Xenopus tropicalis: one gene and its partners. The protein of the gene in region 1 purifies or fractionates together with the protein of each later gene. This does not show direct contact. Links are inferred from orthologs where the notes say so. Each region holds a gene or a part of one and is shown on either strand. Other genes may lie near its edges. The genes, in order: ptpro, sdf2l1 and dnajb11.

Evidence for each region.
Region 2: the proteins of ptpro (region 1) and sdf2l1 purify together in Homo sapiens (affinity purification with mass spectrometry; 3 studies listed by BioGRID and IntAct, with this or other methods). This does not show direct contact. The link is inferred for Xenopus tropicalis from reciprocal best matches to the Homo sapiens genes PTPRO and SDF2L1.
Region 3: the proteins of ptpro (region 1) and dnajb11 purify together in Homo sapiens (affinity purification with mass spectrometry; 3 studies listed by BioGRID and IntAct, with this or other methods). This does not show direct contact. The link is inferred for Xenopus tropicalis from reciprocal best matches to the Homo sapiens genes PTPRO and DNAJB11.

Annotation. Positions count from the first base shown.
Region 1 is NC_030679.2:85,827-94,315, reverse strand, and holds the start of ptpro (receptor-type tyrosine-protein phosphatase O precursor), read right to left. Parts: upstream 5,629-8,489; 5' UTR 5,446-5,628; coding exon 5,401-5,445; intron 1-5,400.
Region 2 is NC_030677.2:153,822,857-153,830,100, reverse strand, and holds the end of sdf2l1 (stromal cell-derived factor 2-like protein 1 precursor), read right to left. Parts: intron 5,400-7,244; coding exon 5,203-5,399; intron 4,657-5,202; coding exon 4,372-4,656; 3' UTR 2,959-4,371; downstream 1-2,958.
Region 3 is NC_030685.2:43,693,142-43,701,875, forward strand, and holds the start of dnajb11 (dnaJ homolog subfamily B member 11), read right to left. Parts: upstream 4,718-8,734; 5' UTR 4,700-4,717; coding exon 4,626-4,699; intron 1-4,625. UniProt on the Homo sapiens protein: As a co-chaperone for HSPA5 it is required for proper folding, trafficking or degradation of proteins.

The DNA of each region.
Region 1 (8,489 bases):
ACCCCTAAGCCAACATGTATCCCAGCACTAGGGCCCCTAAGCCAGCATGTATCCCAGCACTAGGGCCCCTAAGCCAGCATGTATCCCAGCACTAGGGCCCCTAAGACAACATGTATCCCAGCACTAGGGCCCCTAAGCCAACATGTATCCCAGCACTAGGGCCCCTAAGCCAGCATGTATCCCAGCACTAGGGCCCCTAAGCCAGCATGTATCCCAGCACTAGGGCCCCTAAGCCAGCATGTATCCCAGCACTAGGGCCCCTAAGCCAGCATGTATCCCAGCACTAGGGCCCCTAAGCCAGCATGTATCCCAGCACTAGGGCCCCTAAGCCAACATGTATCCCAGCACTAGGGCCCCTAAGCCAACATGTATCCCAGCACTAGGGCCCCTAAGCCAACATGTATCCCAGCACTAGGGCCCCTAAGACAACATGTATCCCAGCACTAGGGCCCCTAAGCCAACATGTATCCCAGCACTAGGGCCCCTAAGCCAACATGTATCCCAGCACTAGGGCCCCTAAGCCAGCATGTATCCCAGCACTAGGGCCCCTAAGCCAGCATGTATCCCAGCACTAGGGCCCCTAAGCCAGCATGTATCCCAGCACTAGGGCCCCTAAGCCAGCATGTATCCCAGCACTAGGGCCCCTAACCCAACATGTATCCCAGCACTAGGGCCCCTAACCCAACATGTATCCCAGCACTAGGGCCCCTAACCCAACATGTATCCCAGCACTAGGGCCCCTAACCCAACATGTATCCCAGCACTAGGGCCCCTAACCCAGCATGTATCCCAGCACTAGGGCCCCTAACCCAACATGTATCCCAGCACTAGGGCCCCTAACCCAACATGTATCCCAGCACTAGGGCCCCTAACCCAACATGTATCCCAGCACTAGGGCCCCTAACCCAACATGTATCCCAGCACTAGGGCCCCTAACCCAACATGTATCTCAGCACTAGGGCCCCTAAGCCAACATGTATCCCAGCACTAGGGCCCCTAAGCCAACATGTATAGTGGAACCATTGCTCTCTGCAGTGCCATAATCTACACATTACAGGATTTCACTTTTGAGAGCACAAGGGGATTACACGTTGGTCGCATTTCTTGCCTGATGTTTAATCTCCTACAATTGGACCTAATACAGCCGCAATACCGGCACATCCGCTCTCCGGCACCAAAGGAGATTTCCAGAAATCACCAGCAATCCCTACATGACGGATTACATAGATACACGCATGGATTACCTAGTTACACACGGATGACACAGTTACATTCATGGATTACAGAGTATTACATGCAAAATAACTGCCAGTAACAGCTGCCAATGTCTGGGCCAGGACATCTAAGAAGAAACCAATCAGCCAAACTGGGTCCCAGGACCAAGTTGCGATGGGATCTGGACGGGTCACTCTGTATCACTGAGGGTAAATGTAAGAAAAGAAGCAGAACCACCCCTCGAAACCTTCATGCCCCCGCGCCAATCAGCAGAGCTCACTATTAACCCTATAAATACTGTACCAAGCACTGTATATGAATAAATCTGCCCTCATCTGACTCAGGCTGAACCATGGGCAGTTAGGGCAGTTTTATTAGTTATCAGGCACCGAGGGCTCAACAGACAAATTCTTGGCTTCCAGGAATGTGCTGATCCGACTCCTGTGCCGAATGGACATTGCATAAGTGGAATCTAAATAACTGTAAGTGAGTGAATGAACCCCCCCCCCCGGCCCGTCAATTCTTCACCTCACACAGAAGTGGGGAACAAACTCACAAGTACAAAGTAACACAATCAAACCGACCCCACAGGTTCCATGAGACCATGAGAGAGGGTCAGATTGGGCCCCCAGAACACCAGGAGTGCCCTGGGCCCACATAGTAGCCAGTCCGACTCTGAACCTCACTTAAATCAAGCATGTAGAACTCTATTTGACATTACCACAACCAATCAAAGGGCTACACTAACCTGCAGCCAATCAGATCATTTAAACACAAAAAGGGCTAGACCAACCTGCAGCCAATCAGAGCATTAGCACTTGATGGACTTTGGTCTTTTTTCAACCCAACTTAACTACCCGCCAAACTACCCAACTATGTATGTTAAACTCACAGGGCTAGACCAACCTGTAGTCAGACAACAAATTAGAACATTGCCGTGACTAGAACAACTTGTTGCCAGTCATAGCAATAGAACATTCTTTGGGCTAGACCAGTGTATAGCCAATCAGAGTATCAGAACATTTCCAGGAACAGACCTGTAACCATTCAGGATTAAAGGGGCCATTCATGGTACTCAGACAGATCAGCCAAAGGGACTATCTGACAGTTTTAGAGGCTGGGCACATATATGGCCACTCTTCAATTGGTAAACTGCCCAAATAACTAACGGGACAGACACCGGGATAGCAAGACTATTTGTTTTAACAGAACCCCCCCCCCATCACTTGCCATACCTTCCCAGATAAATGGACAGTATGGTCGAAATCAGCCAAACTGCCAAAACAAATCTGGGCATGTATGGTCAGCTTGGACAGACATGGGTTGCTACAAGTGAAGAGCAATTTGTTATCCAACTACCTGGCCTACTGGGTCTGGCCTATTCATCTGCCTGACGTCCTGAATTACAGTGAGAGTGGGCTGTAGGCTGTGGGCTGTCAGGTTTGGATCTGCCAATGCCTAATCAAAATATTAGAGGGAAGGGCCTGCATCAACCAATGAAGTTCTTAAGCAGGACAGACCAGTTGGGATCCAATATAATAGCAAATGGGTTTTGAAACCTTTATGCTAACGTGGCCATAAGTGCCCAGGTAAATAAACAGAAAGGTCAAACCAGGACTAACTGCCACCCAAATCCAAGCATGGTGGGTTTATTTAAAACTGTGAGTGTACAAAGTGCCTCTGGGGTTTTATTTGCCTCTAATGCAAAGCAAGTAATACCTTAGCTCTAGATCCCTGTATAATAAGGGTGGATATGGGCACCTCGTCCCCTAGTAGAGGGGTTCAATATAATAATAAAGCCCCATATAATACAAGATGGATATGGTGCCCTTCTCCTCCCATGGGGTGGGTAGAACAACAGAGAGCTCAAAATTATAACATGCCAGCAGAAGAATGGAGAGGTCTGCATAATAAAGACAGAGATTGGTCCTAGAAGATAACGAGGGAGGCTGTATAATATGGATACAGATCGGCCCTCCTCCCATAGAGGGGTCAGCACAAGGATGGGGGTGCTCTGTATAATAAATATAGAGATGGGCCCTTTGGTTTATAAAGGCGTAAGTAGATAATGAGGAAAGCTGTATAATATGGATACAGATCGGGCCCTCCTCCCATAGAGGGGTCAGCACAAGGATGGGGGTGCTCTGTATAATAAATATAGAGATGGGCCCTTTGGTTTATAAAGGCGTAAGCAGATAATGAGGAAAGCTGTATAATATGGATACAGATCGGGCCCTCCTCCCATAGAGGGGTCAGCAGAAGGATGGGGGGCTCTGTATAATAAATATAGAGATGGGCCCTTTGGTTTATAAAGGCGTAAGTAGATAATGAGGAAAGCTGTATAATATGGATACAGATCGGGCCCTCCTCCCATAGAGCGGTCAGCTGAAGGATGGGGGGCTCTGTATAATAAATATAGAGATGGGCCTTTTCATTTATAAAGGAGTAAGTAGATAATGAGGAAAGCTGTATAATATGAATACAGATCGGGCCCTCCTCCCATAGAGGGGTGAGCAGAAGGTTGGGGGGCTCTATATAATAAATATAGAGATGGGCCCTTTCCTTTATAAAGGAGTAAGTAGATAATGAGGGAGGCTGTATAATATGAGCAGAAGGATGGGGGGCTCTATATAATAAATATAGAGATGGGCCCTTTCCTTTATAAAGGAGTAAGTAGATAATGAGGGAGGCTGTATAATATGAGCAGAAGGCACACCGTGCAATTAGCGACTAATCGCATTCATTTAGTGGCTGTAGGTTAATATATACATCGCCGCAACCAATCACAGTAATTGAGCACTGAGCAGCTGTAGGTTAATATACACATGGCGGCGACCAGTTGGGCATTTTCTGTGCCCATTAGTTGCCACGACTTTTTTAAAAAAGTAATTTTTAAAAATCGAATTGTGTGCCTTGCCCTTATAGTTTCATTTAGTTGGGTGCTCTTTAAAAACACCAGGAATTCAGATAGGAGGGTTTATTTAAAACTGTGAGTGTACAAAGTGCCTCTGGGGTTTTATTTGCCTCTAATGCAAAGCAAGTAATACCTTAGCTCTAGATCCCTGTATAATAAGGGTGGATATGGGCACCTCGTCCCCTAGTAGAGGGGTTCAATATAATAATAAAGCCCCATATAATACAAGATGGATATGGTGCCCTTCTCCTCCCATGGGGTGGGTAGAACAACAGAGAGCTCAAAATTATAACATGCCAGCAGAAGAATGGAGAGGTCTGCATAATAAAGACAGAGATTGGTCCTAGAAGATAACGAGGGAGGCTGTATAATATGGATACAGATCGGGCCCTCCTCCCATAGAGGGGTCAGCACAAGGATGGGGGTGCTCTGTATAATAAATATAGAGATGGGCCCTTTGGTTTATAAAGGCGTAAGCAGATAATGAGGAAAGCTGTATAATATGGATACAGATCGGGCCCTCCTCCCATAGAGGGGTCAGCAGAAGGATGGGGGGCTCTGTATAATAAATATAGAGATGGGCCCTTTGGTTTATAAAGGCGTAAGTAGATAATGAGGAAAGCTGTATAATATGGATACAGATCGGGCCCTCCTCCCATAGAGCGGTCAGCTGAAGGATGGGGGGCTCTGTATAATAAATATAGAGATGGGCCTTTTCATTTATAAAGGAGTAAGTAGATAATGAGGAAAGCTGTATAATATGAATACAGATCGGGCCCTCCTCCCATAGAGGGGTGAGCAGAAGGATGGGGGGCTCTATATAATAAATATAGAGATGGGCCCTTTCCTTTATAAAGGAGTAAGTAGATAATGAGGGAGGCTGTATAATATGAGCAGAAGGATGGGGGGCTCTATATAATAAATATAGAGATGGGCCCTTTCCTTTATAAAGGAGTAAGTAGATAATGAGGGAGGCTGTATAATATGAGCAGAAGGATGGGGGGCTCTGTATAATAAAGACAGAAATGAGTCCATTCCCCTATAAAGTAGAAAAGGCTGTATATTATGGGGGTCTCTCTCCTCCAATAGAGGGGTCAGTAGCAGGATAGGATTCAGTATTATAAGCACAAATTAGGGGTCCCTTCTCCCATAGTGGGGGGTTCAGTAAAAGACTAGGGGGAGGGAGAGGGATAACGCCCGTCATTATATAGATCGCATTCTTGGGGCCGGGGGTGAATAATAAAGATTTAGGGCCCCATACTCCCTCTCACCTGCAGGAAGATGATGATGAGGAGCCAGGTTAGAATGGGGATCATTATGCCGGCGGGCCGCAGGGGCCGGGGACACGGCCGCTCTCAGAAAGGATCAGCGGCTCCGGATCTCTCTCCGTTGGATCAGAGGGGAATCTGGCGTTAACGATGGGTTGGCCGATCCTCTTGGTGTGAGCGATATCCTGGCCGGTCTCCTCCCTCCCTCTCCCCGGCTGCCTGTCAGGCTGGGACCGATGCTGCTGCTGCTGCTGATGCGGGGGGGCACACGGTGATGTCACGGTCACATGGTTGGGGGTTGGAGGCAGATAAGCTGCGCCGGGGAAGGGTGGGTGCAGGGGGCAGAGATGGGGCTACATCAGATAATGCTGAGATGGGGGGTTCGGTAGGAAAGTGGGTTTGCAGCCAGGGCGGAAGGGTGCTGATGGGACTAGGTGGGTGCTAGGGTGGGCTCGGAGGCTGGTATGTGGGGCTTGGGTACCAGGATGGTTGGCACCAGGATTGGCAGATCTGAGCTGGGAGAAACTGCTCAAGAAAATGAAACTATAAGCGAAGACACACCGTGCAATTAGCGACTAATCGCATTCATTTAGTGGCTGTAGGTTAATATATACATCGCCGCAACCAATCACAGTAATTGAGCACTGAGCAGCTGTAGGTTAATATACACATGGCGGCGACCAGTTGGGCATTTTCTGTGCCCATTAGTTGCCACGACTTTTTTAAAAAAGTAATTTTTAAAAATCGAATTGTGTGCCTTGCCCTTATAGTTTCATTTAGTTGGGTGCTCTTTAAAAACACCAGGAATTCAGATAGGAGGGTCAGTATGTTGCACCCAGTTTATCTCTATAACAAGGGTTGGCCACAGTGTTGGACTGGCCCACCAGGAACCAGGGAAACTCCCGGGGGGCCCAGGCATTAGTGGGCCCTCCTGCCCCTGATCATTTGGCCTACTTCATGGCCATCCCTATTTCTGTATGGGAACAAAGAGGAGAAATAGAGGGAAGGATAGGCACTAGCATGGAAATAAAAGAGACTTGGAGAATAAAGAGGTTGGGTGAGGAAAGGAGGGAAAATAGTTTGGAGAGTGAGCCTATGGGCTAAGGTTTTCTGGGGGCCCCTGGGGTTAGGGGGGTTAGGTTATTAGGGTTAGGGTCAGACACTGGTTGGCCAAACTCTGCCAAATCTGAGTGCCAAAAATGATAATTTGACCTTTTTCTTATAATCATGTGAATTTAGACCAAAAGTAGGGTTATTTGGGGCAGATATTTTTGTCCCATGATTCCACTAATTTACATATTAGGGTCCAACTCCAACTTTTCAGTTGGTCTTCATTATTTATTTGTTATAGTTTTTGAATGATTTGCCTTATCCTTCCAACTCTTCGCAGCTTTCAAATGGGGTCACTGACCCCGGCAGCCACAATCTATTGCTCTGTAAGGCTACAGTTGTATTCTTATTGTTTTTTAAAATTATTTTTCTGTTTAGGGTCCTCTCCTATTCATATACCAGTGTCTCATTCAAATCACTGCCTGGATGCTAAGGTAATTTGGACCCTAGCAACCAGATAACTGCAAAGTCCAAACTGGAGAGCTGCTGAACAAAAACTGAAAGAACAAAAAAAAACTACAAATAATAATGAAGACAAATGATGAATAGCACTCTCAACATCATACTAAAAGTTAACTCAGAGGTGAGCAACCCCTTTAAATTTTGGGTACAGCAGAAAACACCTGGGGTCAAGCTGATGCCGGATCTGGGATCATTTCTTCGAGTGCCTGTTGCAGGGGGCTAATAGAGAGGGGCAGAATGTGTGATGGGGGCATGAGAAGCCCCCCACACAAGGAGAGATACAGGGTTGTGCGTTAGTCACAGGGGCTGCTGGGATATAGCAGTTCAGTGCAGGGTGGGAACTAGGGGTAGGCAGCACAATGGGGGGTGGGGGGCACTAGGCAAGTCCAGACTTAAATATAAAATAGGCTTCAGCATTTCAGCAATTAGTCAGAAGCCCAATAAATAGAGACTACATATACCGTTCTATAAAGCAGCCCCTCTGGGGTTTGCCAGTTGGCAAGTAGGGCGGGCGGGGGGGGGGGGGGAATAGTGATGGCTGTAACTTTGCTTTGGGTGCTCTTTGTTTCTGGCTCAGCTTTATTCAGCACAGTGAGGTTTAATAATGTTGTGGCTTCCCTAGTCTGAACAGAGACAGAGGAAATTATATGTACTGTATATACTCGAGTATAAGCCTAGTTTTTCAGCACCCAAAATGTGCTGAAAAAGTCACCCTCGGCTTATACTTGACTTGGGTGCCATGGGTCCCTCCAGACTAGCACCCTCTGTCCTTTGTGTGCAAATTAGGCCCCCCCACAACCAGACCCTCCAGTGCCTGTTGTTTTTGTTGACCCTCTTCTCCACTTATAGAGCTAGTTTACTGTTTTTCTTTAAAATAAATATTGAAAAACATATACCCCACTGATGCCTCAATTAATGTAATTGTATTGGTATTTATTTTGATTATTAAAACTTAGCAGTAGCAGCTGCATTTCCCACCCTAGGCTTATACTCGAGTCAATAAGTTTTTCCAGTTTTCTTAGGTAAAATTAGGTACCTCGGCTTATATTCGGATCGGCTTATACTGGAGTATATATACGGTAATCTTTATATAGAGATGCAAAATACATCGGCGCTATATATAATAATAAAGGGGTCTCTTCATCATTTGGATGGCCATACCTTAAGTTTACTGAAAAATCATTTAAACATTAAATACACCCAAAAGGATTGTTTTGCCTCCATTGAGTATTAATTATATCTTAGCTGAAAACAAATAGATGCTGTTTTATTCCTACAGAGAAAAATTAAATCATATTTAAAAATTAGAATTATTTTATTAAAATGGAGGATGGAATTGTTTAATTTGGAGCTTTCTGGATAACGTATCCCATGCCTGTACTTGGAATTGTCTCCTTTAAAAATGCAGAGACCAATTATCTTTTACATAAGAGGGAAACCAGCAAAGATACTGCCCCAGTGTCTGATTGGTTCTCTCCATTTGTCTGTTCATTTGGGAATGGAAAGCAGTAGAAGAAAGT
Region 2 (7,244 bases), on another chromosome or scaffold:
GAGCATACCCATACATAGCGGACATGGAGATGGCCAAGGTAAAATAAAAACACAGTAATAATAACTATGATGATTTAAAGGGGAAGAATAAACTTTAGTTCAATGTGAATGTGGTAAGTAAGGCTTGTAATGAATATACTTTTTGCCAATTGTTTTAACCACCAATAATTTATGGTTTGTTATTTCTTGAGCTAACAGGGAAACTGTCACATTTGGTCCTTGCAAGGTAGATAATTAGATTACCAGTGCACAAATAATTCCTGTATAATGGACAAAATAGTCCCTACAAAGGGTGACAGTGGGTTGTATACTGGTAATCTACCGTACTCCTTCAAAATGTAAACAGCTAACAATACACATTTACTATTATACGGTTACATACTAAATAATAAGTCAGGCTTAGCCAATTTGGTTCTTTATTACTAATAAATCCCTCAATAGATGGGGCTTTCTAGAAGTATGAATAATCATTCCTTTTACCAAGTTAACTATATTACCAAGTGCTCTTTTGTGCTGGTGCCAGAAAGCCACATACTACAGTGGCACAGATGAACAACAGCCATGCAATTAGATCATCATACCACAGAATCTTACAGTAACAGCTCTAAATACAGCTAGGAGAATGGAATATAATTACCAGAATTGTGTCTGCAGGCTTCTGCTAGTCTTACAATGTAGATTCCTTTTACAGGAGCCAAATAATCATAGATCAACATTAGCAGAAAGAATCTGTGCTCTCATAATTATACAGAGCAGGAGAAAGGTGTGTGGGTGAAAAGAAAGAGAACACCCAGGGAATTAGTGCAGCACAATTGTATTACATGCTCAGCAAATATATAACAAATGTTTCCATTATGTAATTAAGTACACCTTTAAATACTGCTATAGCACGGTGGTGTGTATGCCTGATATTACATATTGCCACTGACTACGTCACAATAAAAGTTAACTTAAAGGTGAACTACACCTTTAAATATACTTGTAGTAAATAATGGCCATACATGGTCTAATACTGCCTGCTGACTCTTTAAAGGATTTTTAAGCCTACTGGACTGTGTATGGGGTCATAATTATGGCATCCCTGCCTGGTATTGTTCTTTTCCAAATGAGAAGGTTAACTTTTTAAGTGAGATATCAGACTTTTCTTTATATATACCGTAAGTCAAAAAATGTTGTAAGTGCAGCACCTGCATTTTACTTACCTTTCTTCCAGCATCCCAGGTAGTTCTTGTGCAGATTCTTGTTCGCAAATGCAAATAGTAAATCAGAAATGTTAGTCTACTGTGCAAGTGCAATTGCCAAAAGACCTCACAACCCTCTCCAACTATCAGAATTACTGGACAGCATCTACACATTGAACTCTCACACTATCCATTACCGAACTCCCTACTGGACCCACTAAAGTCTGATTTCTATCCCTGACATTCCAACTGATCAATTTGCAGCCTTCGACTCCCTTTCCATTGGGGATTCAGGACACTGCACTATATTGGATCTCATCCTGAGTTTAATAAATCCTTTCTAATAGAGAGGAGATAGCAACATTCCCATCCATGCCCTTGTTACATCCCTTAAAAAGAACTGTAACATACTGTTCTGCGGACTCCCCTCTCTAAGCTGACACCCTCGTAATGAATACTACTGCCAGACTCATACACTTCTCCTCCCTCTTCACAAGTGCCACGCCTCTCTGCCAGTCCCTGCACTATTTTTCAAACAAAAGTTTGATCTAAGGCTGATGTCAGACGAGGCGTAGGGCGGATATTTTCGGAAAGCGGAAAACCGCTTGCCGAAAATTCCGCCCTACGCCTCCTACTTGTGCCTGCACCCGAATGAATAGAATACACTTGGGTGCAGGCACATGTAGTGGAAATACGTATAAAAACGCGTGTTTTAAAGTCTCACGTTTTTATGCGTATTTCCACTACATGTGCCTGCACCTGAGCGTATTCCATTTATTGGGGAGCAGGCACATGTAGGAGGCGTAGGGCGGTATTTTCGGCAATCGATTTTCCGCTTGCCGAAAATATCCGCCCTACGACTCGTCTGGCATTAGCCTTACATTCATGTACCCACCTACAAATCACTCAGTGTTGCACCACCATACATCACCTCTCTAGCTACCAAATTCACCCATAGATGTAACCTTAGGTTTGCACAGGGCCTCTTTTCTTCTTGCTCCTGCATCTAAAACTTTTTAAATACTGCGCCCATATTCTGTATCCCCCTCCCCCAGCCCATTACACACTCCCTCAACCTTTTGGGATTCACATGTGGTCTTGTCAAACACCCTGTTACCCCTCAACTCTATTGGTCACCCTTGATTACTTGATTGCCTATTACATTGTAAGGTCTAGAAAGCAACAAAATGCAATTGTAACAATGTTTCTGGTTGTGAAATGTTACCCCCTTAAGCTGTAGAGTGCTGCAGGAGATTGTGGTGCTATATAATTAATAAGGAAAATACATTATTAATGATTTGTATACAGGTATAGGACCCGTTATCCAGAATGCTCGGGACCAAGGGTATTCCGGATAAGGGGTTTTTCCATACATTGGATCTCCATATCTTAAGTCTACTAAAAAAATCAATTAAACATTAAACCCAATAGGACTATTTTGCATCCAATAAGGATTAATTACATCTTAGATGGGATCAAATTCAATGTTTTATTATTACAGAAAAAAAAGGAAATCCATTTTAAAAATCTGAATTATTTGATAAAAATTGAGTCTATGGGAGACAGGTTTTCCGTAATACGCATTGGATCCCATACCTGTATTAATAATGTCAGGAAAGCTCACGTGTCACAGTCTTTCTACTAGATTTATATACTTCAAATCAGCATAGGATATATGTTAGCATGCAAAACAGGTTTGAAAATAAGAAAACACATTTTCCCCACCCCTAAAACACTTTAGTGCATATTTATGCAAGTGGAGCAAACAGAAATATAGTCTGACCAGTGCAATTTTTATTTCTCTTTTTTCTATTTGAGTACAACAAGTAACATCATGGCTTAATCATTCTGACAAATCTACCTGGGTTCAGTGTAAAACATGAACTCTGCAAAGCTTCAGTCTGTGCGGCATAAAAAGCAAACAAAAAGTATTCTCAGGACTAATAACATGATATTCCAAGAACAGCTGTTAACAGTATTTGTTTGTTCTAGTAGAACTGGCAGCACACACAAAGCCTGTAAAAGCACAGGCAGGTGGTCAGCTTGAATTCTGTACAACACTTTACAGTTCATATAGTTTTTTTATTTTTCTTATCCCACATTGTTTTTCAGGATTGTGTGTGCAACCAGTTTGTCATATTTATATGCTCAATTTCCTCGTGCTGGTTTAGGGTTATCAAGATCAATGGACAAGTTGATCAACAACCATGGAACATATTTTACACAGGACAAGAACTTGAGTCAAAGGGGTTAACAGCCAAGAAGCCCATGTGATGGTTATTACTCTATACAAGTCTGAGTCTGTAAAGAGGTTTTAATCTGCTTTATTTTATTTTTGTAAAACATTAATTCGCAACACAATGATCATTATTAAATGATTATTATTAATCTGTAATGTTATGGGTTTATAGTGATGTTAGAGGCCAAGCCATAGCTAGCCAGGATTTGCTTGCAATGGGCCAATTATTCTATTTTACTAATTTGGTGGGCCTGATTATTATAAAACAACAATATCATATTCTCAAAAAAAAATTTGAGTATGCTGGGAGCCATAGGTTTGGCCCATCGACCTCTCTTAAGACAAATTCAACCATTATACAACTGAAGCTTTGTATTCTGTATGCCAAAGGGGTCCTTTGAATTTTTAAATGTTAAATTGGTGAATTATATTAATAGTTTCCATCTAGATCCACTGAGATGTAACAGGCAGAAACCTTCCAATTAAATGTTCCAACGGTAGGTATGTGAAGGTTGCTGTGAACTGTTCCGTCAGAAACACGGTAAAAATAATTCTTCATCTTGAGTCTCTTCCCAAAGGGAGCACTGGTCACAACCATTAAGTGCATTGAAAATGTTATTATTATGCCTTTTCCACCTAACAGATATATTCTGAAAAAATTACAGTTTGGATCAAGTTCAAAAGAAACAGAACAACAAACAATGGTTTAAAAATATAGATCTAAAAAAAACACACAATAACCAAACTATATCCCTTTTAAGAAATAAATCTGTACAGAAAAGTGACATAGAATAGTGCCACATAGTTTAGAAGCGCTGCTGGTATCATTCATAAAGGCAGATCTGTGTTTATTTTTACTACCTAGTAGAGTTTACTGTGTTCAAGTACATCAGCCCCCAGGAGCACATGGAGCCCCAGTAGTAAGAGGGGCTTTACAGGTTTTGATGTTCTTCACAATTCGTCATGTTTGTTCGCACCTGGTGGGGAGCTTTGTTTGAGAAACACTCCCTCCATTACCTTCCAGTAGTTGTGAGCATTTGGATTAGTTATACCATGGACTTCTCTCTGGCCTCGAATTGGGTGTCCATACTGTTCCCCAGTAATTGTTAAGTAGACATTTGTGCCAATGTGCTTGAAACGAACACTCTCTTCGCGTTCCCAGAGTGTGTCACTGCACTGCACCATCCATGCATCCAGATCATCGCCTTCTCCATTATCCCCAAAAGCACTTACCTCCTGTTAAAAGAGTTTAAACGTAAGCTTGATGCTATGTTAAAATAAATATGCTGTTTCTTTACACTCTAAAGACCACACATGACCAAATATTCAAGATGCTGCTGCATAAGTAGCCCTCTTTTTTTGCAACCACTTTCATTCTTCTGCCTATGCTAAAGCGATACAAGGACAATATTAATTTATAACAAATACAAGTATATACCTGTAACAAGCAATAATAAGAACAAATAGTTTGCTGGCTCACCTTTTATCTAGTTTAGAAAAAACGTCAGCTTGTCTTGAAAGAGAAGACTAAAACCTGAAAGGGCGAGCCATAACACTTTCATAAAAGCTTGAGGAACTAAAGCGATATGAAAACTTCTGTTCATAACCTCAGTATTCAAAATTACTCTAGAGTTTAGGCACTTTCAACCTGGATTGTCTTGCTACTAAGATATGGTGAATTCTACATTACTGGCCAATCAGCAAAAAAATGAACCAACCCTACCTATGATTTTGTGTAATGTTTCTATCTGTAGAGATTCAAATTTCATTGATAATATGTACCTGGTTGTTAGAAAGAGGGGAAGGGAAGTGATGCGTGTGCAAGTTCTTTCCAGTGTTCACATGGGTAAGACGGACAGCTTGACCACACTTGATGGGCTCCCCACGTGAGCAGTCGGCATCTGTCTTGCCCCTTATTCTCCAGTAGCTGTTAGCATCATCTGAGGCCTCCACGCCAGTGACAGACTGCTGACCGCTACCTTTTTGGGAAAAAAAGAACATAATTGTAATAATGTACTCAACAATATATTTTACATGGATTTACATTAGCATTCAAAAAAGGATCTAAGGGACACAGTTGCAGAATACCAAATAATGAAATACAACTTCTGTATGCACCCAAATCTATATTACTCAAACATTTAGTTTTTTAACCAGTAGTTTCTTAAAGAAGCCTTCCTGGCAAAATATATAAATACTTGTTTTACACTTGCTCACAAACAGCAAATAACCATACATGAACAGAAGAAAAGCCTGACTCACATTCAGTAATCAGTTGCAATTTAGAAGGGAACCCACCTTTAGGATAACCAGAAATCTGAAAAGCATACAAAAGCGGCACTAATAATGATAAGTGTGAGCCTATAAATAACTCATGTGTATGTACATTAACTTCGTAACTGAATTTTACCCATAATGTCAGTATGTGCTGACACACACACACACACATATATATATAAAAAACAGACCATACAGGGCACAAATATGAACATTTCCTCATTGCTAATGTCTTCCTGCACTTGCGAAAAAGAATAACACAGATGCTTTTCAAAGCCACCTTTAAAGCTGATCCACATGGAAAAGAATCAGAAGGCAACATTGTTTGCATGGGTGATTTAAAGCACAGAGCCAATTTTACACATATTTTTCCACACTAATAAAGTTTGTCACCCAACCAGAACTGTTGTATTTTAACAGCATGCTCTGGCAGTATTTCTAACTGCCATGGTATGCTACTATAGGTACACAATGCAACTATCAGTATATCTGTGTTTCTTAAAGGAACAGTAACACCAAAAAATCAAGTGTATGAAAGAAATTCCAATATAATGTACTGCTGCCCTGCACTGGTACAACTGGTGTTTTGCCTCAGAAACACTACTATGGTTTATATAAAGAATGCAGCTATGTAGCCATGGGGGCAGCCATTCAAAGGAGAAAAGGCACAGGCACTTAGCAGATAACAGATAAAACACTATTGTATTCTACAGAGCATATCAGTTATCTGCTATGTAACCTGTGCCTTTTCTCCTTTTTTCCAGCTTGAATGGCTGCCCCCGGGGCTACACAGCAGCTTATTATATATAAACTATAGTAGAGTTACTGTAGCAAACACACAACTTTTACCAGTGCAGGGCAACAGTACATTATATTTCATTTACTTTAAAACTCTTTAATTTTTTGGTGTTACTGTTCCTTTAACATTTTTCTCTGGGGACCCAAATTAAGTCGAAAAATCATTTTGTGACCCAATTCCTTTAGAACCAACTATGCACCTCATTTTAAAGTATTAATGTCATGGGAAAACATGTTTTTTTCAAAATGCATCAGTTAATAGAGCTTCCTGCATTGAAATCTGTTAATTTTGAAATTTCACATGGGGCTAGCCATACTCTTTATTTCCCAGGGTGCCACAGCCATGTGACCTGTGTTCTGATAAACTTCAGGTCACACTTTACTGCTGAGCTGAAACTTGGATATATAGTAGATATCAGATTAGCACTCAATAGTAAGAAGTCCAACTTGGGACTCCTCCAGTTACATGGAAGTAGGAGAAACAATAGGCTGCCTGGAAGGTGTTCTAATTTGTAGCTCTGGCTCCTTCTGAGATGGCGCCTACACACCAATATTACAACTAAAAACAATAAATTTGTTGGTTCAAGAATAACATTTTAATTTGTAGACTGAATTATTTGCTATGTAAACAGTGTAATTTAGAATTAAAAAGTACAACATAAAAATCATGACAGCCTTAAATCTCTAATGCTGGAAGAAACTTATGTGACCCAATTTACACAGCAAGGAAACCCATTTTTGGGCCAGAT
Region 3 (8,734 bases), on another chromosome or scaffold:
TTCTTTGTTTAAAAAAACTGATTTTTTATCATTCTCAAAAATATGAACCTTAGCAACTCTCCAGAATACATTAGATACAAATGTTAATGGTTTTACAGTTACTATAAATATTTACAGTGGTGTGAAAAACTATTTGCCCCCTTCCTGATTTCTTATTCTTTTGCATGTTTGTCACACAAAATGTTTCTGATCATCAAACACATTTAACTATTAGTCAAAGATAACACAAGTAAACACAAAATGCAGTTTTTAAATGAGGGTTTTTATTATTTAGGGAGAAAAAAAATCCAAACCTACATGGCCCTGTGTGAAAAAGTAATTGCCCCCTGAACCTAATAACTGGTTGGGCCACCCTTAGCAGCAATAACTGCAATCAAGCTGTTGCGATAACTTGCAACGAGTCTTTTACAGCGCTCTGGAGGAATTTTGGCCCACTCATCTTTGCAGAATTGTTGTAATTCAGCTTTATTTGAGGGTTTTCTAGCATGAACTGCCTTTTTAAGGTCATGCCACAACATCTCAATAGGATTCAGGTCAGGACTTTGACTAGGCCACTCCAAAGTCTTCATTTTGTTTTTCTTCAGCCATTCAGAGGTGGATTTGCTGGTGTGTTTTGGGTCATTGCCCTGCTGCAGCACCCAAGATCGCTTCAGCTTGAGTTGACGAACAGATGGCCGGACATTCTCCTTCAGGATTTTTTGGTAGACAGTAGAATTCATGGTTCCATCTATCACAGCAAGCCTTCCAGGTCCTGAAGCAGCAAAACAACCCCAGACCATCACACTACCACCACCATATTTTACTGTTGGTATGATGTTCTTTTTCTGAAATGCTGTGTTACTTTTACGCCAGATGTAGCGGGACATGCACCTTCCAAAAAGTTCAACTTTTGTCTCGTCGGTCCACAAGGTATTTTCCCAAAAGTCTTGGCAATCATTGAGATGTTTTTTTAGCAAAATTGAGACGAGCCATAATGTTCTTTTTGCTTAAAAGTGGTTTGCGCCTTGGAAATCTGCCATGCAGGCCGTTTTTGCCCAGTCTCTTTCTTATGGTGGAGTCGTGAACACTGACCTTAATTGAGGCAAGTGAGGCCTGCAGTTCTTTAGATGTTGTCCTGGGGTCTTTTGTGGCCTCTCGGATGAGTTGTCTCTGCGCTCTTGGGGTAATTTTGGTCAGCCGGCCACTCCTGGGAAGGTTCACCACTGTTCCATGTTTTTGCCATTTGTGGATAATGGCTCTCACTGTGGTTCGCTGGAGTCCCAAAGCTTTAGAAATGGCTTTATAACCTTTACCAGACTGATAGATCTCAATTATTTTTGTTCTCATTTGTTCCTGAATTTCTTTGGATCGTGGCATGATGTCTAGCTTTTGAGGTGCTTTTGGTCTACTTCTCTGTGTCAGGTAGCTCCTATTTAAGTGATTTCTTGATTGAAACAGGTGTGGCAGTAATCAGGCCTGGGGGTGACTACAGAAATTGATATTGAAATTGAAAATTGAAACTGATAAACCACAGTTAAGTTATTTTTTAACAAGGGGGGCAATCCCTTTTTCACACGGGGCCATGTAGATTTGGAGTTTTTTTTCTCCCTTAATAACGTGAACCTTCATTTAAAAACTGCATTTTGTGTTCAATCTAAGTTATCTTTGACTAATAGTTAACGGTTTTTGATGAGCAGAAACATTTAAGTGTGACAAACATGCAAAAGAATAAGAAATCAGGAAGGGGGCAAATAGTTTTTCACACCACTGTATATAACATAGTTACATATTTTATGTATGACTGGGTCTCACTCCTGAAACAATGAAGCAGAAGTTAACTAATTAAAGGGGATATATAGCATAAATTTTTACAATGCACTAAACCATGTAAAAAACTGTAAAATAGAAGGAAGTGCTTTTATTTTAATACCTTTGGGTTCAAATATGTCCATAACTGCTTGAAAACTGTGCTCTACCCAGACCTTATGCCAGCTTCCGGTTTAGACTCTTCAGTATATCACTCAGAGCCACCGGCCCTCATAGACTTCTATGACACCCTCCTCACCTACTTAAAGTGAAGTGAATATTCATAGAGTGGTTGGGGCTTAGTGAGCTCACAGACAGTCCATTCCTGCTCTACTCGCTCCTCTCTTTTGTATGCTGCTCTCATATAATGCCAGTTTTAGGAGGAAAAATGCTTTCAAAACATCTTTCTTTCTGCATCATTTCACATTTTGAGGGAGGATGAATATTAGAACTGAATATGAACTTTATATAAAATGTCTCCTTTAACAGAATTGGAGGATAACTTATTTATGTTACTCTATTTTAAGAGCCAGAGCATATAAAGGGATAAACAAATAGGTGATGGGGATATTGGGATAAGCAAATAATGCATTCAACTGCAATTACAAAAAAAAATAAAATCAATAAAAAAATTCAATGTTACTGAGAATTACATTCTTGTATTGTTGCACTTTTTAGAGTGGAGGCCGAAGGAAGTTAAAGGAAAACTATACTTCCCAAACAATGTACGTCTCTATAAAAACATATTGCATAAAACAGCTCATATGTAAAACTCTGTCCAACTAAATAAACCATTTTTATAAATAAAAGTTTATTAGTATGTGCCATTGGGTAATAGAAAATTGCCATTATAAGTACTAAGGGCCACCCCCTGGTATCATACAATTTACGGTGCACACAAATAAACCAAGGGCACACATACATATTAGGTCAGCCAATTAATGGAGAAAATTCTGACTTTTACTCCAACACTATTTCTTGTAACAGTTAGAGCTGCATTATTTCTGGCCATGTGATCTCTAAGGAAGCTCACAAACTATCACAAAATGATGGCTCAAGGTAAAAAAAGCAATATTTACTGAAATATATTAAAGTTTGGTAAGATTCTTTAGAACACCACTTATTATGATATAAACTATTTGCTGGCTAAGTATTCATTCTGGGGGTATACATTTCCTTTAACTTCTTAACAGCAGAATTCTACACCATCATTTGCAATTACGATCAGATTTACGAATGGGTTTTTGCCAGTACTCGATTTTTCTGATATTGTTTCCCGTATAATTAGAGTTTTACGAAAATAATCCCATCATTTGTGATTTATGAATTTTTTTGAGGGGGGTAATAAAAAAAAAAATCAGGCAGGTTTGATCTATCATGTATCACTGGGTCCTATTAGAAGAAAAATAGAATAGTCAGTGACAGCTTGTCCTTGACACATTTTCAAGGAGAAGTAAACCCCCTTTCTGTTTCACCCAGTTTCAAGTGTAAATTAATCCCCCTCATTGTTTTCTGTTGCACGTAGTTTCAAAGGGAAGTTAATTGACTTCTATTTCACACGTTTTCAAGTGGAAGTTAAGCCCATCATTGTTTTGTATTTCACCCAGTTTCAAGTGAAACTTGAATGTGCGCCAATTCTCCTAAAATGGCTGCTGGAGTAATTCCTGTTTGGGAAAAATAAAGAGGATTCATGGAAACATCCGTTCAAACTCAAAGTTTTCGGGTTTTAACATTACTTTCGGCTTACATAACTATTGTTCATGACCTATTGTTCTAAATGTGTTTTATACATTATAATATGCATTTAGATAGTAAAAACAATGAAATAATTATATGAATCTATTCCATATTACTTTAAACAATGGAAATGCCAAGTGTTGCTGTATAATATTTTTATGACGAATGGTTGCCAAATCTGCACCTTCACTAACAGTCACCAAACAAAACACCAGGCTTTTCTTGATCTACTGTAAAATATTAAAGCTCAATTTGTTAAACATTCTTTTGCTGCTTCCCTCATCTTGTTCACTCTGTTCTCATCATATCTAGTATAAATAAATTTAAAGCAATTGGACTTGTTTGGTAATCATTGAAGACGTTTCACTAGTCATCCGAGCAGCTTCTTCAGTTCAACTGACTGGTATGGGAAGTCCTCAGCATAAATACTCTTGAAGTATATAAGTATAATTAGAGTATATATGCTGAGGACTTCCCATACCAGTCAGTTGAACTGAAGAAGCTGCTCGGATGAGTAGTGAAACGTCTTCAATGATTACCAAACAAGTCCAGTTGCTTTAAATTTATTTATACTAGATATACCATGACCTGGATGAATGAAAATCTTCATAGACATATCTGTTCTCATCACTTTCTCCCTATGTTCCTATCACTTTCCCCTTCATCTATAGTACAAAATACCAAAAAATGTTCCATTTACCAATCACTACATTTTACTTACTTTAATTTCCCCACTCTGCATGTCACTGGCATAAATGCAATTTTTTAAAATCTCCATTGTGAAATATGATTTACAGCATACTCGGACTTTTGCAGAAAGTAATTAAAAAAAACATGGTGGAAGACCTTTGGTTACACAAATTCGGTCCCATACTAACATGTAATATACAGTATATGACATATAAATCTAGTCTGTGGAAACAGGTTGACACACAGGAACTATAATAAAATAGCCAAAACATACATTAATGGTTAAACAAAAAGTCAAAATTTAAAGTTACAAACAGCCACTCAAGGAAGCCTGCATTTAATCCAAATTTACATTTTATGAATGCAATCCTGTTAAATGAAAGGGTAACCACTGCAAATAACGCGATCCTTACCCTCCGCTGACAATGACCATCAGGTAAAATATTAAGAAGCAAACACCGGTAGTGGATTTATAGCAGACCTTCATGATTCAGATACGAGGAACAGACAAGTTTCTCAATTTTCACATTCACCACAACGAGGAGTATTTAGCGAAAAGCAGAAGCAAACGTAATACTACAGCGCCGCAACCAATTACAACGGAGCACGTCATAAGACACGCATATATAAATAACCAATAAGAAGATTTTGCTGTGTAGTTTCCGCGTGATTTTGTCCAATGATATTCACAGACATGGCAAACGTACATGCTTAGCTGTACAGCCAATAGTAATACGTAAATGGTCGTGCTTATGGTTTTATACGACTGATCCTGCACCTCGGGAAATAGAACGCGCGTTTATGTGCTTTCTTACATTGAATGGCTATGGCCTGGTCTGTAAAAATTGCCTTGACGCCAATAATGTCAATAGAGAAGAAAGATAAAAGAACAGCACAGCAGTGTTTGAGCAAATTTTAAATTCGCCCAAATGACATGATTGTTAATGTGCGTAATGCAATCAGAACTTTACATGAGAATGCAATACAACACGGCACGCTTCTATATAATTTAAGCTTTAGTTTCAATAGTCTTCGATTGTAAATTCTGTGGGGCAGGGACCTCCATGCACGTCATCTAGCTCTGTGGAATATTTAATGCAACTGTACTTTTTATTTATTTGTAATTGTACTCTGCCTTTATCTATTATATTAATGGCCCCTACTTGTTTTTGAATGTGTTGTTATGCTGTACAGCACTGCCTATATAGTAGTGCCATACCTCCCAACATTTGAAAAATGAAAAGAGGGACAAAAAGATTTTGACCACGCCCGCTTTAGTGGCCACGCCCCAATTACCACACCCCATTTTTTTAAAAAATACTCCTTTTGTATATTACATTAACATTTATTTATAAAGCGCCAACATATTCCGCAGCGCTGTACAATAAGTGGGTTACATACATTGGACATACAGAGTAACATATAAAGCAATCAATAACCGATACAAGAGGTGAAGAGGGCCCTGCCCAAAAGAGCTTACAATCTACAAGTAGATGAAATGGCGGGATCAGACGCAAATGTGCTATACTCTCCTGTATACTGTACTACCTAAGGAAAACAATATAGCAACTCCTACATATAAAATACAAATATAGAAAGAAGGCAGACAGTTATAAGTGAGTTATAACTATGTATCAGCTTTGCCCCCCATACACTGTAGCCCCCATACACAGTAGCCCCCATACACATTAGCCCCTATACACAGTAGCACCCCCATACACAGTACCCCCCCCCCCAATACACAGAGCCTCCATACATGCTGCTGCTGCTTCTCCTTCAGTGGCTCCTCTCTATATGCGGCTCCTTGTTCGGCGGAGCCAGGCCCTTTTATAAGGTTGCGTGTGTGCGTGTGACGTCAATACGCACGGGCGCAACCTTATAAAAGGGCCTGGCTCCGCCGAACAAGGAGCCGCATATAGAGAGGAGCCACTGAAGAGGAGGAACGCCTGACTACAGCCAGCCCATCCCGCTGTCAGGGATAGTTCCATGAATGTCCCGCATTACGGAAATGCGGGACATTCATGGAACTATCCGGGACTGTCCCGCGGAAAGTGGGACAGTTGGTGGTATGTAGTGCTATATAAATAAAAATACACAAAATATCTATAGATGTCACCATCACACCCTTCTTAAAATTCTAATAATAGGTGTATATTTAAAAATCCATTTAAACAATTACATTGTCCTGACAGTCCTCACCATAAATATTGCACTAAAACATCATAAACTGTAATCTACAATCTCATCATTAGATAGCTGTCAACCCCCCTGGGTTTCCTGGGAGTTTGCTAGTTTTGGTCCTTCTCCTCCTTGCCTCCTCTCACTGTATGCCATTCCCTCAAGTTTTTAAGTTTCCCCAATGGTGTGCATACATGTGCACATGTGCAGTGAGCAATCTGGGACAGCATAACGGTCCTGTGAGCACCCTTGGTGAAGTCACATTAACTAATGTCAGTAACTGATATAGTGTAGGGCATCAAAGAGCCTTTTCCCCTGTTTTTTTTGTCTGTGACATCATGCAGCGTGATTACAGAATGGAGAGAAATCCAATTTGCCTCTCGGAAAACAGGAAGACCCAGATAGAGACAGGGATTGAAGCCAAACCACAGAGTGGGCCATTTCTGCAGTAACCAGCCAGATCTGAAGAGCAGAAAGAGAGACAACAGGGAGAGTAAAGGATCTGCCTTTTAAAGTGATACAGACACCTAAAACTAAACCATTTTTTAAATATATTATAACATTGTCTTTGCATGAGCTTTATTATTTTGCCATTAAACTATTTGCCATTACCTATCTGATCCCCTGTGTTCCTCTATAAGGGGGCTTCCATATTTACATTAGAAGCATTTCTAAGCATTTGTTAGCATTAGAAGCTATAAATGACAGGCTGAGAAGGGACAGTCAGGTTGGCAAAACAGTTGCTACAAAAGCAGCCCTATCAGTGAAAAATTATTAACATGACCTATAGGTAACTTTTTATGTACTCCAGCCATATAAAGAGAGAGTTCTGCTTAGCTGCTTTGCATTCCTACAGTTTGGTTTTTAACAGCAATCCAGTTGCTAGGGTCTTATTTACCCTAGCAACCAGGCAGTAGATTGAATGAGAGTCTGGGGTTGGCTGCATATTATGGTACACTGGCTCCTGGGCCGGTTAAGGGACAAAGAGTCCCACAATGAAAACAAGCTGCAGGGCCTTTTTAAGGCCTTGGTGGGCCCTGGGCCAAAATCCAAAGAGTGGGGCCCTATTATCCTGCCGTATGCAGCATGGCAATATTTTTATTTTTAACTACACCAACTTTTTGCCCACACCCGTTTCACCAAAACATAAACCCAGACGTGCTAGAATAATTACTATAGAAGATGGATACTCTGCAAATTTACTTAGAGATGCCAATATAATTAATAATGTAAATTAAAAATGTTATCCCCAGCTGTGCCATTGTAATGACTGTGGAAATGGCCAATCAACAAAAAATGGCCAATGAGACAATCTGCAGTTGGTCTTCATTTATTTTTTCATTTATTTAGGTTTCTGCTTTGCAATTCTACAGTTTGGTTTTGAACAGCAATCCAGTTGCTAGGGTCTTATTTACCCTAGAAACCAGGCAGTAGATTGAATGAGAGTCTGGGGTTGACTGCATATTATGGTACACTGGCTCCTGGGCAGGTTAAGGGACAAAGAGTCCCACAATGAAAGCAAGCTGCAGGGCCTTTTTAAGGCCTTGGTGGGCCCTGGGCCAAAATCCAAAGAGTGGGGCCCTATAATTCTGCTGCATGCAGCATGGCAATATTTTTATTTTTAACTACACCAACTTTTTGCCCACACCCGTTTCACCAAAACATAAACCTAGACGTGCAAGAATAATTACTACAGAAGATGGATACTCTGCAAATTTACTTAGAGATGCCAATATCATTAATAATGTCAATTAAAAATGTTATCCCCAGCTGTGCCATTGTAATGACTGTGGAAATGGCCAATCAACAAAAAATGGCCAATGAGACAATCTGCAGTTGGTCTTCATCTGAAACACCCAGACTGACCTCTGTAACATGGGCAACCATGGCAGTCACTATCCTCAGCCAGACACTACAGTCCCAGGGCAGAGCAGGACAGGGCCCTACCACTTTGGCTGCCCATAGGCAGCCATATTCTAATATGTCTGAATGTAGACACCTTTAATTGCCCACCCTTTAGGCCTTGGGGAGAATCAACAAAACATTGGCATTTTCAGTGCACAGTGCGTGTCATCAATATTATCCCTGCCTCTTCCTCGGGTTCCTTAATCAAAGCAGAAACAAACATATTTCCCCCTTCGTAATAAACTCTTCCACCATAACTGGTATGCAAATGAGCTGCAGATGCTGGGTATAGCCTTGCCCAGTAGGGCAGACAGCTCTACTGCTGCTGTGGGAGAGGGAACTGTTATTTAATGGGGGAGGGGCAGCGTCACTACTGGCTGCAGGTTTAACTATATTGATATTTTTACATAGCATTTAGATTCTATTCTGCTGATGAGGC